Callithrix jacchus: one gene and its partner. The protein of the gene in region 1 purifies or fractionates together with the protein of each later gene. This does not show direct contact. Links are inferred from orthologs where the notes say so. Each region holds a gene or a part of one and is shown in the gene's direction. Other genes may lie near its edges.

Evidence for each region.
Region 2: the proteins of GBA2 (region 1) and HACL2 purify together in Homo sapiens (co-immunoprecipitation; 3 studies listed by BioGRID and IntAct, counting the BioPlex papers as one, with this or other methods). This does not show direct contact. The link is inferred for Callithrix jacchus from reciprocal best matches to the Homo sapiens genes GBA2 and HACL2.

What each region holds. Positions count from the first base shown.
Region 1 is NC_133502.1:142,643,610-142,649,060, reverse strand, and holds part of GBA2 (non-lysosomal glucosylceramidase), read left to right. Parts: intron 1-1,791; coding exon 1,792-2,010; intron 2,011-2,328; coding exon 2,329-2,568; intron 2,569-2,786; coding exon 2,787-2,889; intron 2,890-3,053; coding exon 3,054-3,207; intron 3,208-3,292; coding exon 3,293-3,418; intron 3,419-3,615; coding exon 3,616-3,788; intron 3,789-3,985; coding exon 3,986-4,090; intron 4,091-4,283; coding exon 4,284-4,391; intron 4,392-4,489; coding exon 4,490-4,641; intron 4,642-4,760; coding exon 4,761-4,867; intron 4,868-5,022; coding exon 5,023-5,165; intron 5,166-5,244; coding exon 5,245-5,360; intron 5,361-5,451. UniProt on the Homo sapiens protein: Non-lysosomal glucosylceramidase that catalyzes the hydrolysis of glucosylceramides/GlcCers (such as beta-D-glucosyl-(1<->1')-N-acylsphing-4-enine) to free glucose and ceramides (such as N-acylsphing-4-enine).
Region 2 is NC_133523.1:13,830,528-13,836,722, reverse strand, and holds the start of HACL2 (2-hydroxyacyl-CoA lyase 2), read left to right. Parts: upstream 1-2,753; 5' UTR 2,754-2,864; intron 2,865-3,023; 5' UTR 3,024-3,102; intron 3,103-3,392; exon of another isoform or gene 3,393-3,411; 5' UTR 3,412-3,421; coding exon 3,422-3,556; intron 3,557-4,848; coding exon 4,849-5,050; intron 5,051-5,149; coding exon 5,150-5,277; intron 5,278-5,362; coding exon 5,363-5,501; intron 5,502-5,590; coding exon 5,591-5,702; intron 5,703-6,195. UniProt on the Homo sapiens protein: Endoplasmic reticulum 2-OH acyl-CoA lyase involved in the cleavage (C1 removal) reaction in the fatty acid alpha-oxydation in a thiamine pyrophosphate (TPP)-dependent manner. Involved in the phytosphingosine degradation pathway.

The sequences.
Region 1 (5,451 bases):
GTCTAGGAAGTTCCTCTTTCCTGGCTCGAGCATTCAGCCTCATCTTCAAAGGAAAAATGACTAGCAGATCTTTAGTTCAATTAATGACAGTGCCCTTCCTGGTTCAGGTTTACCAGCCCTGCCTATGTCCCAAGATCCCTCTCTGCCTCATCCCTTAGGTATCCTGAGGCAAATTGTTTCCAGAAATGTGACTCCACAATTAAAGTAATTACTGCATGCTTAACATGTGCTAGACACTGCGCCAGGCTCTTTGTATACTGTCGAATATTAAAAACAATCCTACAAGGCAAGTACCACTATTATGCTCATTTTGCAGATAAGGACACTAAGATCCAGAGAGGTTTAGTAACATGTGTAAGGTCACAAGGTTGGTAAATGGAAAGGCTGGGATTCAGAACCATTTCTCTCTGTGGTGAAGAGCTTGTGGTCTTAACCATTATGTACCATTCCAACAAAATGAAAAATTATTGTATACAGTTGTCCCTCAGTATCCATGGTGGGGGCGGAGGTTGGGCCCAGCACCCATTACCCAAGGATGCTCAAGTCTTTTATTTGAAATGGCATACAGTATTTGCAGATAACCTATGCATAACCTTCTATATACTTTAAACCATCTGTAGATTACTTATAATACCTCATACATTGTTACATAAACCTTTGTCATACTGTGCAAGAAGTAACGTGTGTACGTATTCGGTACAGATGCACATTTTTTTTTAAATATTTTAGATTCAGTTGGTTGAATCCACAGATGCAGAACTGACAGATACAGAGAGCCGACTGTATACAATAAAAATATTTGGCATAGTTTGAACCAGGGAAAGGGATATTGATCCCTCATAGCTTCTACCATCCAAGAGCTTAAACTTTTTTTGAGAAAATAAGACTTAGGGGAAATGGAGACTGTGAAACCACATCAGGGCCAAAAGGAGAGGAATGGATAGTATACTGCAGAAAAAGGGACGGCGCTGCAGATTTCGCTCATTCCCTCCACATACATGCCTTCTGAAGAAGGGTGCATCAGTGAATTAGAAAATGTCCCTACCCTCAGAAGAATCCATAGAACAGTCAGGGACACACAATGGTCAGCCAATACATTATAACATAATTCACCAAATGCTAGAATAGAGGGGGAGGGGGGCACACAGAATGACTCACTACTAAAGGAAGAAGAGCAGGAGGAAGAGATGGCATTTGACCTAGGCTTTGAAGGATGAGAGGTTTCACCACATGGCAAATGAGCATGAGCACAGGCATGGAGGAGGGAATGTAGTATGCTCAAGGAAAAGTGAGTATTTTTATATGAGCACAATATAGGTGCTTGAACAGGTAATGAATCTGATGGGCAGGGAGAGGCCAGCTCAAGAAGGGCCTTGAAAGCCAAGTAAGAGTTGAGACTTCAGCCTGAAGGGCATGGGGAGTCACTGAAACATTCTAACCAAGGACTAACATATCTTCATTTGCCTGTGAGAAAAATCACTCTGCTACGACCCAGATGAAAAGGAGCAGAGAAAAAGCAGGAGATTGGTTTGGGCTTAAACGACACAGAAAAAGCATGAGATTGGTTTGGGCTTAACACCACCATAGTAAAGGGAGAGAAAGCTTAGGAGATAGATGGAGGGGGAGGCAGCAGGACTTGGTGATTCACTGAGCTTGGGGGATGACCAGAAGCTGATGGTGCAGTGGTAACAGTTGCAAGCTCTGAAAGGGGAGGAGCTGATTGGAGGGGAGAGAAGACTTAGTTTGTGTTGCCTGTGGGTTACCCCGTTCCAGCCTATCTGCCCTCTTAAGTTCACAGTGTGCCTGCGTCGGGAAGGGCAGACTGTGTACCAACAAGTCCTGTCCCTGGAGCGCCCAAGTGTCCTGCGCAGCTGGAACTGGGGCCTGTGTGGGTACTTTGCTTTCTACCACGCCCTCTATCCCCGAGCCTGGACTGTCTATCAGCTTCCTGGCCAGAATGTCACCCTCACCTGTCGTCAGATCACACCCATCTTGCCCCATGACTACCAGGTGAGACCCCCACATCTGTATCTTCCATTGCCCTCCCTTCCCCAGGACCTGCTTCTGCTAGAAACTGCATGGCCTGTGAAAGGGAGGTTGGAGCCATGAGCATCACGCTGGCTTCCCAGAACCACCGCCCAATTGGTTCTAGTCTTCTGTGTCCCCTGGTAGGCTGCTTGCCTGGGAATACGGGGAGACGCAAGTGGACAAAAAGAGTACGCTGGGGAGTATTTGAGTCAGGTCCCTGGTGCGCCCAGGACCGATCCTAAGAGAGTGGGGTCAGGAGGGGCTCTATGGGACTGTCTGAGTCTAACCTTCTGCCCCCAGGACAGCAGCCTGCCTGTAGGAGTCTTTGTGTGGGATGTGGAAAATGAAGGGGACGAAGATCTAGATGTGTCCATCATGTTTTCCATGCGGAATGGACTGGGGGGTGGAGACGATGCCCCAGGGGGTTTGTGGAATGAGCCCTTCCATCTGGAGCGTGATGGGAAAACTGTCCAGGGGCTGCTGTTGCATCATCCAACCCTTCCAAACCCCTACACAATGGCTGTGGCTGCACGAGTCACGGTAAGGAAAGAGCCTGCCCTATACCTTAGCCCCTGAATCCCACTCTTAGCCTAGCCCCTGTACCACCTCCACCCCAGAATGGTCACTTCATTCACCCTCATCATAGCCTGTAAGCCCCTGGGGCCTGGGAGGTGAGGGTAAGTAAGAGGAGCGGGGGAGCTAGCCGGGATTCAGTGTACTTGTAGAGCCTGCCCTTACAGTCCCTGGCCCCTTCACAGGCAGATACCACGGTAACCCACATCACAGCCTTTGACCCTGACGGCACGGGGCAGCAGGTGTGGCAGGATCTACTTCAGGATGGACAGCTGGATTCTCCCGCTGGTGATGGGGGGGTCTGACTGGGAGATGGTGGGAAGAGAGGTTGTCCCTGTCTTGGGACCAGGGGTGGGAGGCCTGTTAATGAGTAGGCCTTGTTTCCATGTTATGGATCCCTATCCCTGGGGCTGAAGTGGCTCCTGTCCTGAATCCTCTTGTGCTTCTCTCAGGCCAAAGCACCCCCACGCAGAAAGGAGTAGGTGTTGCTGGAGCTGTGTGTGTTTCCAGCAAGTTGCGACCTCGAGGCCAGTGCCGCCTGGAGTTTTCACTGGCTTGGGACATGCCCAGGATCATGTTTGGAGCTAAAGGCCAAGTCCACTACAGGTGAGGGGACCAAGAAAGTATAAGGATCCAAGGCACTGGGGCTCTGACCTGGGGCTTGTGTTCATCCATTTTTTTTCTACCCCAGGCGGTATACAAGGTTCTTTGGCCAGGATGGAGATGCAGCACCTGCCCTCAGCCACTATGCACTGTGCCAATACACAGAGTGGGAAGAGAGGATCTCAGCTTGGCAGAACCCAGTACTGGATGACAGGTGCCAGTGGGGCCCATCGCTTTCCTTTCTCCTAGGCACTCACTCCAAATGGGACTCCTCGATTCACTCTCCACCCACCAAAGTCAGTAAACTTACACGGGGATTCATTTGGTGCTACCACTCTGCTGAACCCCAAAATCCTTTCTGTCTTGGGAGGTACATGTTCCTTAAGCCATTTCCTCCCCCTCACTCCCCAGATTGTTGCCTGCCTGGTACAAATCTGCACTGTTTAATGAACTGTATTTCCTGGCCGATGGAGGCACAGTATGGCTGGAAGTTCGTGAGGACTCCCTACCACAGGAGCTGGATGGGAACATGTGTCACCTCCGCCCCACTCTACGGGATTACGGTCGATTTGGCTACCTTGAGGGTACAGGATGCTGGTGGGCTAGGATATGGCAGGCCATCCCCAAGGCAGGATGATGGATTTGCCTACCTCAGGGTATTGGTTAGGGTGAGGGGGTAAGTGACAGCGTCCCACCTCCAACTCTAGAGGACAAGGTAGAGAGGAGTTTGAAGGGGAAGCGGGAATTCTAGCAACAGAACTTGTCTCATTCATTCCTCCAGGCCAGGAGTACCGCATGTACAACACATATGATGTTCATTTTTATGCTTCCTTTGCCCTCATCATGCTCTGGCCCAAACTTGAGCTCAGCCTACAGTATGACATGGGTGAGGGTCCCTTTTGTGCCACTTCTGCCCTCTTGGCTGCCCATACCCTTGAACCTCTGTGATATCTCAGATTGTCTCTTCTTTCCCTTCCCTTCAAACCTATCTGCATGCTGCTTACTGGTTCCTCACTGGGGTCACACACATAGCTAAAGCCTGCCCATTCCCTGCCTCCATTGTGTATCTGCTCCCCTAGCTCTGGCCACTCTCAGGGAGGACCTGACACGGCGACGGTATCTGATGAGTGGGGTGATGGCACCTGTGAAAAGGAGGAACGTCATCCCCCATGATATTGGGGACCCAGGTAAAAGTCCACCACAAGGTCAGCTTCCCTCCCTCAACTTTTGCACCCTCTACCCTACTGACCAATGCAAATGACCCAGGTCCCCTCCTTTCCCACAGATGATGAACCATGGCTCCGGGTCAATGCATATTTGATCCATGATACTGCTGACTGGAAGGACCTGAACCTGAAGTTTGTGCTGCAGGTTTATCGGGACTATTACCTGACGGGTGATCAAAACTTCCTGAAGGACATGTGGCCTGTGTGTCTAGTAAGGGATGCACATGCAGTGGCTAGTGTGCCAGGGGTGTGGCTCGTGTTTGGGAACAACCTAGCTGGTTGTTACCTTTCCTCAGTACCTAGATCTTCAGTATCTTGGTCCCTCTCTAGGCTGTGATGGAATCTGAAATGAAGTTTGACAAGGACCATGATGGACTCATTGAAAATGGAGGCTATGCAGACCAGACCTATGATGGATGGGTGACCACTGGCCCCAGGTTAGCGGGTAGGGGTTTCCAGGAAGCCTGAGGTGGGAAACGGGCACCAAGGGATTGTAGGGCTCAAGAAAGAATGACTCATTCTTTGAGTCATCTCACTGCATGAGAGCTGCTGAAGCTGTCATTCTGACCCCCAAACCCATGTCCCTCATCAGTGCTTACTGTGGAGGGCTGTGGCTGGCAGCTGTGGCTGTGATGGTCCAGATGGCTGCTGTGTGTGGGGCACAGGACATCCAGGATAAGTTTTCTTCCATCCTCAGCCGGGGCCAAGAAGCCTATGAGAGATTGCTGTGGAATGGTGAGTTCGGGGAGCCTAAGTAGTCTTAAGGCAGCTGTGGGGACAACAGGAGCCTTATTTTGCACTTCCTTGACTCCAGGCCGCTATTACAACTATGACAGCAGCTCTCAGCCTCAGTCTCGTAGTGTTATGTCTGACCAGTGTGCTGGACAGTGGTTCCTGAAGGCCTGTGGCCTAGGAGAAGGAGACACTGAGGTGAGAGAGTGTAGGAGGAGCCAGAGAGAAAACTGGGTTTTCCCTGGAGGTGGGAATTAAGTATATGAGACCGTGTTCCTGCCCTTGTCCC
Region 2 (6,195 bases), on another chromosome or scaffold:
TCCTGACCTCAGGTGATCTACCCACCTTGGCCTCCCAAAGTGCTGGGATTACAGGTGTGAGCCACTACACCCAGCCTAATTATTTTTTATTAAAAAATATATATTTTTTGTAGAGATGGGGGCCTCACTCTGTTGCCCAGACTGGTCTCAAACTCCTGGGCTCAAGCAATCCTTTCACCTTGGCCTTCCAAAGTCCTGGGATTACAAGCGTGAGCCACTGCACCTGGCCTGTCGTTTCAGTAGTTTGCCCTCTTTATTGCTGAGCAGCGTTTCATGATGTGAGTGTCTCACAGTTTGTTTAACCATTCCCCTCTTAAGGGCTATTTCGTTTTTTTTTTCCAGTTTTTGGCTATTGCAAATAAAGCTCCTATGAATAATCACATGCAGGTTGCGTGCAGTTGAATATTGTTCAAAATCCTCTCTGGCTTTCTAGTTCACTTAGAATAAAATTCTCAGTCCTCATGCAGTCTGTAAAATCACACCTGCCTGTCCTTTGTCTACCCTTTGATGGGATCTCCTCCTTGCCTCCTCTTTGCTCTCTTTCTTCCAGCTATCCTGGCTTTCCTGACTTTCTCTGCACATGCAAATCCCATGCCGTTTGTAATGAGTTGAATGGTGGACCCTCAAATGTCCATTCAGAACCTGCAAATTTGACCTTACTTGGAAAATGTGCCTTTGAAGAAGTAGTTAAGTGAGGGGTCTCAAGATGAGGCTCTCCTGGATTAGGGTGGTCCCTAAATGCAATGACAAGTGTCCTTGTAAGAGACAGAGGAGGAGGTGCAGGCACAGGGAATAAGGCTGTCGGAAGATGTACGCAGAAATTGGAGTGCTGCAGCCACACGCCACAGGATGCCTGGGGCCCCTTGTAGTTGGACGAGGTAAGGATCCTCCCCTAGAGATCTTTAGAGATGTGTGGCCCAGCTGATGCCTCGAGGCCGAACTTCCAGTCTCCAGAAGTGTAAGAGAATTAATTCCTGTTGTTTGAAGCCACTAAGTTTGTGGTAATGTGTTAAGGCCACTAACGGAAATTAACAAACCACCTCAGGGCCTTTGCATGTGCCATCTCCTCTACCTGGATTACTCTTTCCCCAGATCCTTGTGGGGTCCATGCCCTCACTTTCTCCTGGTCTCTCTGCTCAACTGTCACCTCCTTAGAGAGTCCTCCTGCTCATCCTAGCTAAGAAATGCCCATACTGTATCCCTCTAACTTTATAATTTGTTGCACTTCTCTTTAAATATCAATCAATTTAGATACTTGGTATTTGTTTCCTCCTCCCCCATTCCCCCCCCCTTTTTTTTTTAAAGAGACAGGGTCTTGCTCTGTTGTCCAAGCTTGGCACAATCACAGCTCACTATAACCTCTTGGGTTCAAGCGATCCTCCCTCCTCAGCCTCCCAAACAGCCAATTTTTCTGCCTTTTTTTTTTTTTTTTTGAGACAGAGTCTCACTCTGTCGCCCAGGCTCAAGCGATTCTCCTGCCTCAGTTTTTTTTTTTTTTTTTTTTTTTGAGACAGAGTCTCACTCCATCACCAGGTGCCATGCTGGAGTGCAGTGGCGCGACCTCGGCTCACTGTAACCTCCTCCTCCTGGGTTCAAGCAATTCTCCTGCCTCAGCCTCCGAAGTAGCTGGGACTACAGGTGCGCACCACCATGCCCAGCTAATTTTTTTGTATTTTTGTAGAAATGGGGTTTCACCATGTTGGCCAGGATGGTCTCGATCTCTTAACCTCGTGATCCACCCGCCTTGGTCTCCCAAAGTGCTGGGATTACAGGCGTGAGCCACCGTGCCTGGCCTCTCCTCCCTCAGTTTTATTTATCTATTTTTTGAGAGACAGGGTCTCAGTTTGTTGCCCAGGCTGGTCTCAAATTTGTGGCCTCAAGCAATCCTCCTGTCTTGGCCTCCCAAAGTGCTGGGATTACAGGTGTAAGCCACCACACCGGGCCCAATTTTTGTCTACTCTTAAGCTTCCCTGAATGTTAACACCTTATATAACCATGATACATTTACTGACACAAAAAGATGAACGCTGGTTCATTACTATTAACTCAACTCCAGACTTTATTTGCATTTCACCAGCTTTATCCACAAATTTGTCCTTTTTTTGATACCTGGATTCAGCCCAGAGTAGTATATTAAACTTAGTTCTCACGTCTCCTTTCCCTCCTCTGGTCTGTGCCAGTTCCTCGGTCTTTCTTGGTTTTTCATGACCTTGACAGTTTTGGAGGTCTGGTCAGGCATTTTGTAGAATGTGCCTCAATTTGGGTTTCCTTTGCTGGCTACTATTTCTTTTATAAACAATATACACACATACGCACACATATATACATGCATAAATACTTATAGTGTGGAAATACACATAACATAAAATCTACCATTTTAAGCATTATTATTATATTTTTTGAGACACGGTCTTCTTGCTCTGTTGCCCAGGCTAGGGTGCAGTGGTCTGGCCACACTGATGTGGAAAGCAAGCTGTGTTCGGAGGACCTGAACCTAGGGCTTGCAAATGTGGGGCCAATGGCAGGCTGTGGAAGGTGGGTCCCCAAAGGTCTTCGCTCCTGGAGCCGCTGAGGGGCGTGGCCTCCTGGTTTAAAAAAAAAAAAAAAAAAAAATCGCTTCGAGGCCTGCAGTGCAAGCCAATGAAAGGCTAGGGTAGGTGGGGCCTGCGCGCGAGGCGGCCAGTAGAGGGAAGGCTCTTTCGCGTGGCCCCCCGAGCGTGGTTCCGACTGCGCAGGCGCACCGGCCGGACTACGGGACGCCGCTGAGCCAAGTGGCCGAAAGGGGCACGGCTGCGCTCCTGGGTCACGTGACACGGAGGGGGTCCGAATTCTGGTGGAGGCAGCGCCCTATCCTGGAGGTGAAGGTGAATAACCTCGGCGGTCGAGCTGGTGACGGAGAACCGCATACTGATGCGATGCGACCTCGACTCGTGGCTTGGGCCAGTGCGCTCTCCAAGGGAGAGGCGTGGCTTGCGCAGAGGGTCGCTCCTTCTAACTCAGGGGGCGTGACCTCGTTCCTCTAGGTGACGTAACGTGGGGCTGAGATTTGGGGTCCCGTTGTGGAAAGAGAGGCGGGGCTTCCGCTTGTCCATTGAGAAGTAGGTAAGTGGAAGATAACTGTGTAGTGCTGTTGTCACCGCCGTGACCTGTGGTGGCTAGTTTGGGTGGGAGTGGTGGTGACGTAAAGGACTGGGGTTAGCGCCGCGTGGGGCGTGACTTTGTCTCAGAGAGGCGGCCTCACCCAGTGCCTAGGCGCACAAGGGGCGTGGCCTGGCAGCGTTGGGGGTGTGGCCGCACCGAAACTGGAGCCAAGGGGCGTGGCCCTGGATTCGGGCTGGAGGAGGGGGCGCGATTTCTTCCGAATAAGATCACTGTCGCGCCCCAGTCTGGGCAGTGCTCTTTCTCTATCAGGTGCCACCTCATGGAGATCCCGGAGGCCGCCGCCCCTGTCGGGAGTTTCTTCCCCTTCTTTCTGCTCCTGGCCTGCGGGACGCTGGTGGCCGCCTTGCTGGGCGCCGCGCACCGCCTGGGACTCTTCTATCAGCTGCTGCACAAGGTGCGGGGCAAGGAATGGGAAGCGGGCTGGTGGTAGCCAAAGAGGGAGGGGCCTTGGGACGCTGCTTCCAGTTCACTCCTCATTGTGCAGCGTGGGAAAGCGAGTCCCGACTAGCCCAGAGGGACTGGTAAGAGGTTCTGTCCATGACCCTGTCTCCGTTGCCACGCTGCCTGCCTATGGGGGCCTGAACTTTGCCACTAGTGATAGAGAACACGGAAGCGGCCTCTGCCCGGGCACTCAAACCCCGCCTACCTCCTTCCCCAGTGGCTCTTTTCACAGACAGCACTCTGATTGTGCTCCCTAAACTGGATGGGATAGATGGGGCTGAGGGCAGGCACCAGCAAGGAGATGGCAGTGAGTTTCGTGACAGTTGCCCTTTGCTGAGTTCAACACTTTAGACTTTCTTACCTACCCCTTACCTTTTCCTTGAAAGTAGATGCTGTTCTTTCTGACCTCATTTTCTGCAGGAGAAAGCTAAGTCTCAGAGAGATTGTGTGGTAGTTTTCCCTAGGTGGCCCCACATGCCTCCCCCACGAACTACTTGCACACCTGTTTGAAATTTACCCCTTCCGCAGACCCCCTTCTCAACCCTTTCTCTCCTAGCAGGGACCAAGTTTGACCTCTCCCTCCCCAAACCCTTCTCTAGTCCTTCTTCTGCTAGCCAGGGGTGATGCCACTGACCTTCAGGACTTGTGGAGATTTAAAGCAAGCCTTGGATGTGCGGAACTGTGAGGCTGCTGGGGTTGGGAGGCCTCGGTACAGTGTGTGCCAGGAGCTAACTCCCGTGCCAGGCACATGGTGGCTCAGGGCAGTTTAACATCCATCAAGAGGGCATCAGGGAGGCTGGGATCAGCAGTCCAGCTGCCAGGCCCTGCAGCAATACTAGAGGGCAGGCAGGAGTCATAGCAAATGGCTCTCTGCCTTGTGCCCTGGCTAAACCTCCTGGGTTATATAACCCTCTCCTCTCTCCCTGATTGCCTTGCCATCCCGGAGGCAGGAAGTGTAACAGTATGGCACTTAAGAGTGTGGGTTCTATTGGACTTTCAATCTTGCTTGGGCAAGTGTTGATGTCCTCAGCTATAAGAGATGTAATGACAAGAAATTCTGATAAGACGCTTTGCCTTGCTTTGAGCCTGGTGTGTAGTGTAATATATGCCTAACCAAGACTAAGCTTCCCTTGACCTCCCACCCTGCTCCTGCCCCCTTACCTGGGTCAGGGGGATTGCCCCCTCTCCCAGCTGTCCTCTGGCGTGGCCTTTGACTCTATTGCTCCACCCACTCCTTGGGTCCAGGTGGACAAGGCAAGCGTCCGGCATGGCGGAGAGAACGTGGCCATTGTGCTGAGGGCCCATGGCGTGCGGTTCGTCTTCACGCTGGTCGGTGGGCACATTTCCCCGCTGCTGGTGGCCTGTGAGAAACTGGGCATCCGTGTGGTGGACACACGCCATGAGGTCACAGCTGTCTTTGCTGCCGATGCTACTGCCCGCCTGTCTGGTGAGGGCATTGCAGAGAGGGCTGGGGACTGTTGGATAGAATAGTGGTGGGAGAATGGCCAGAAGAGTGGGCGTGGCAGTGATGGGCTCTGTGTTCCAGGAACGGTGGGAGTGGCAGCAGTGACGGCTGGCCCTGGCCTCACCAACACAGTGACTGCGGTGAAGAACGCTCAGATGGCCCATTCCCCAGTCTTGCTTCTGGGTGGGGCCGCCAGCACTCTGCTGCAGGTACCCAGTCCATGGCGGCCAGTGGGGGCCCAGGGGGACTTAAAGGGCTCATGTGGTAACCCTGCCGCACCTCTGTCTTTGCCAGAACCGGGGTGCGCTCCAGGCCGTGGATCAGCTGTCCCTGTTTCGGCCACTCTGTAAGTTCTGTGCATCCGTGCGGAGGGTTCGGGACATCGTGCCCACCCTCAGGGCCGCAATGGCTGCTGCCCAGTCGGGCACCCCAGGTAGGTGGAGGATGGTGGTGCTGAGCAGCACTGGGGCTGAGGGGCTGGGGAGGCGTGTTGCAGACTCAGTGTCATCCCCGTCCCCGCAGGTCCGGTGTTTGTGGAGCTGCCCATTGATGTGCTGTACCCCTACTTCATGGTCCAGAAGGAGATGGTGCCAGCCAAGCCACCCAAGGGCCTTGTGGGCCGAGCGGTCTCCTGGTGAATAGCCCCACCCTGCCATTCCCTCCTCCATCCCCTGTCCTCTCCTGCAGCTTCCAGCTCGTGCCCATTCTCCTTTGATTCATATGTGGACTGGGAGGAGACTGCTGTGCAGAGAGCATTCCAGGTAGAAGGAACAGCATGTGCAAAGGTCCTGAGGCAGCAATGAATTGAGTGGATGGGGGAAGCAAGGTGGCCCTCATGGAGGCAGCAGAGGGGAGAGGCTCAGAACAGCCCTCCTCCTCCTCTTCTTCCTTTTCTTCTCCTCTTCCATCATCTCTTCTTCCTTTTCCTCCTCCCTCATCCTTCCTCTTCTCCTCCCTTTCCTCCTCTCTCTTTCCCCTCATCCTCTCCATTTTCCTCTCCCTAAAGGATGATCCTTGAACCTCAGAAGGGAGATTCACTTTTATATTTACAGTGGAGGAAGCTCAAAAAGGTGAAGTCTCTTGCCCAAAGTCACACAGCTAAGAAGTGGCAGAGCCCAGACTCGAGC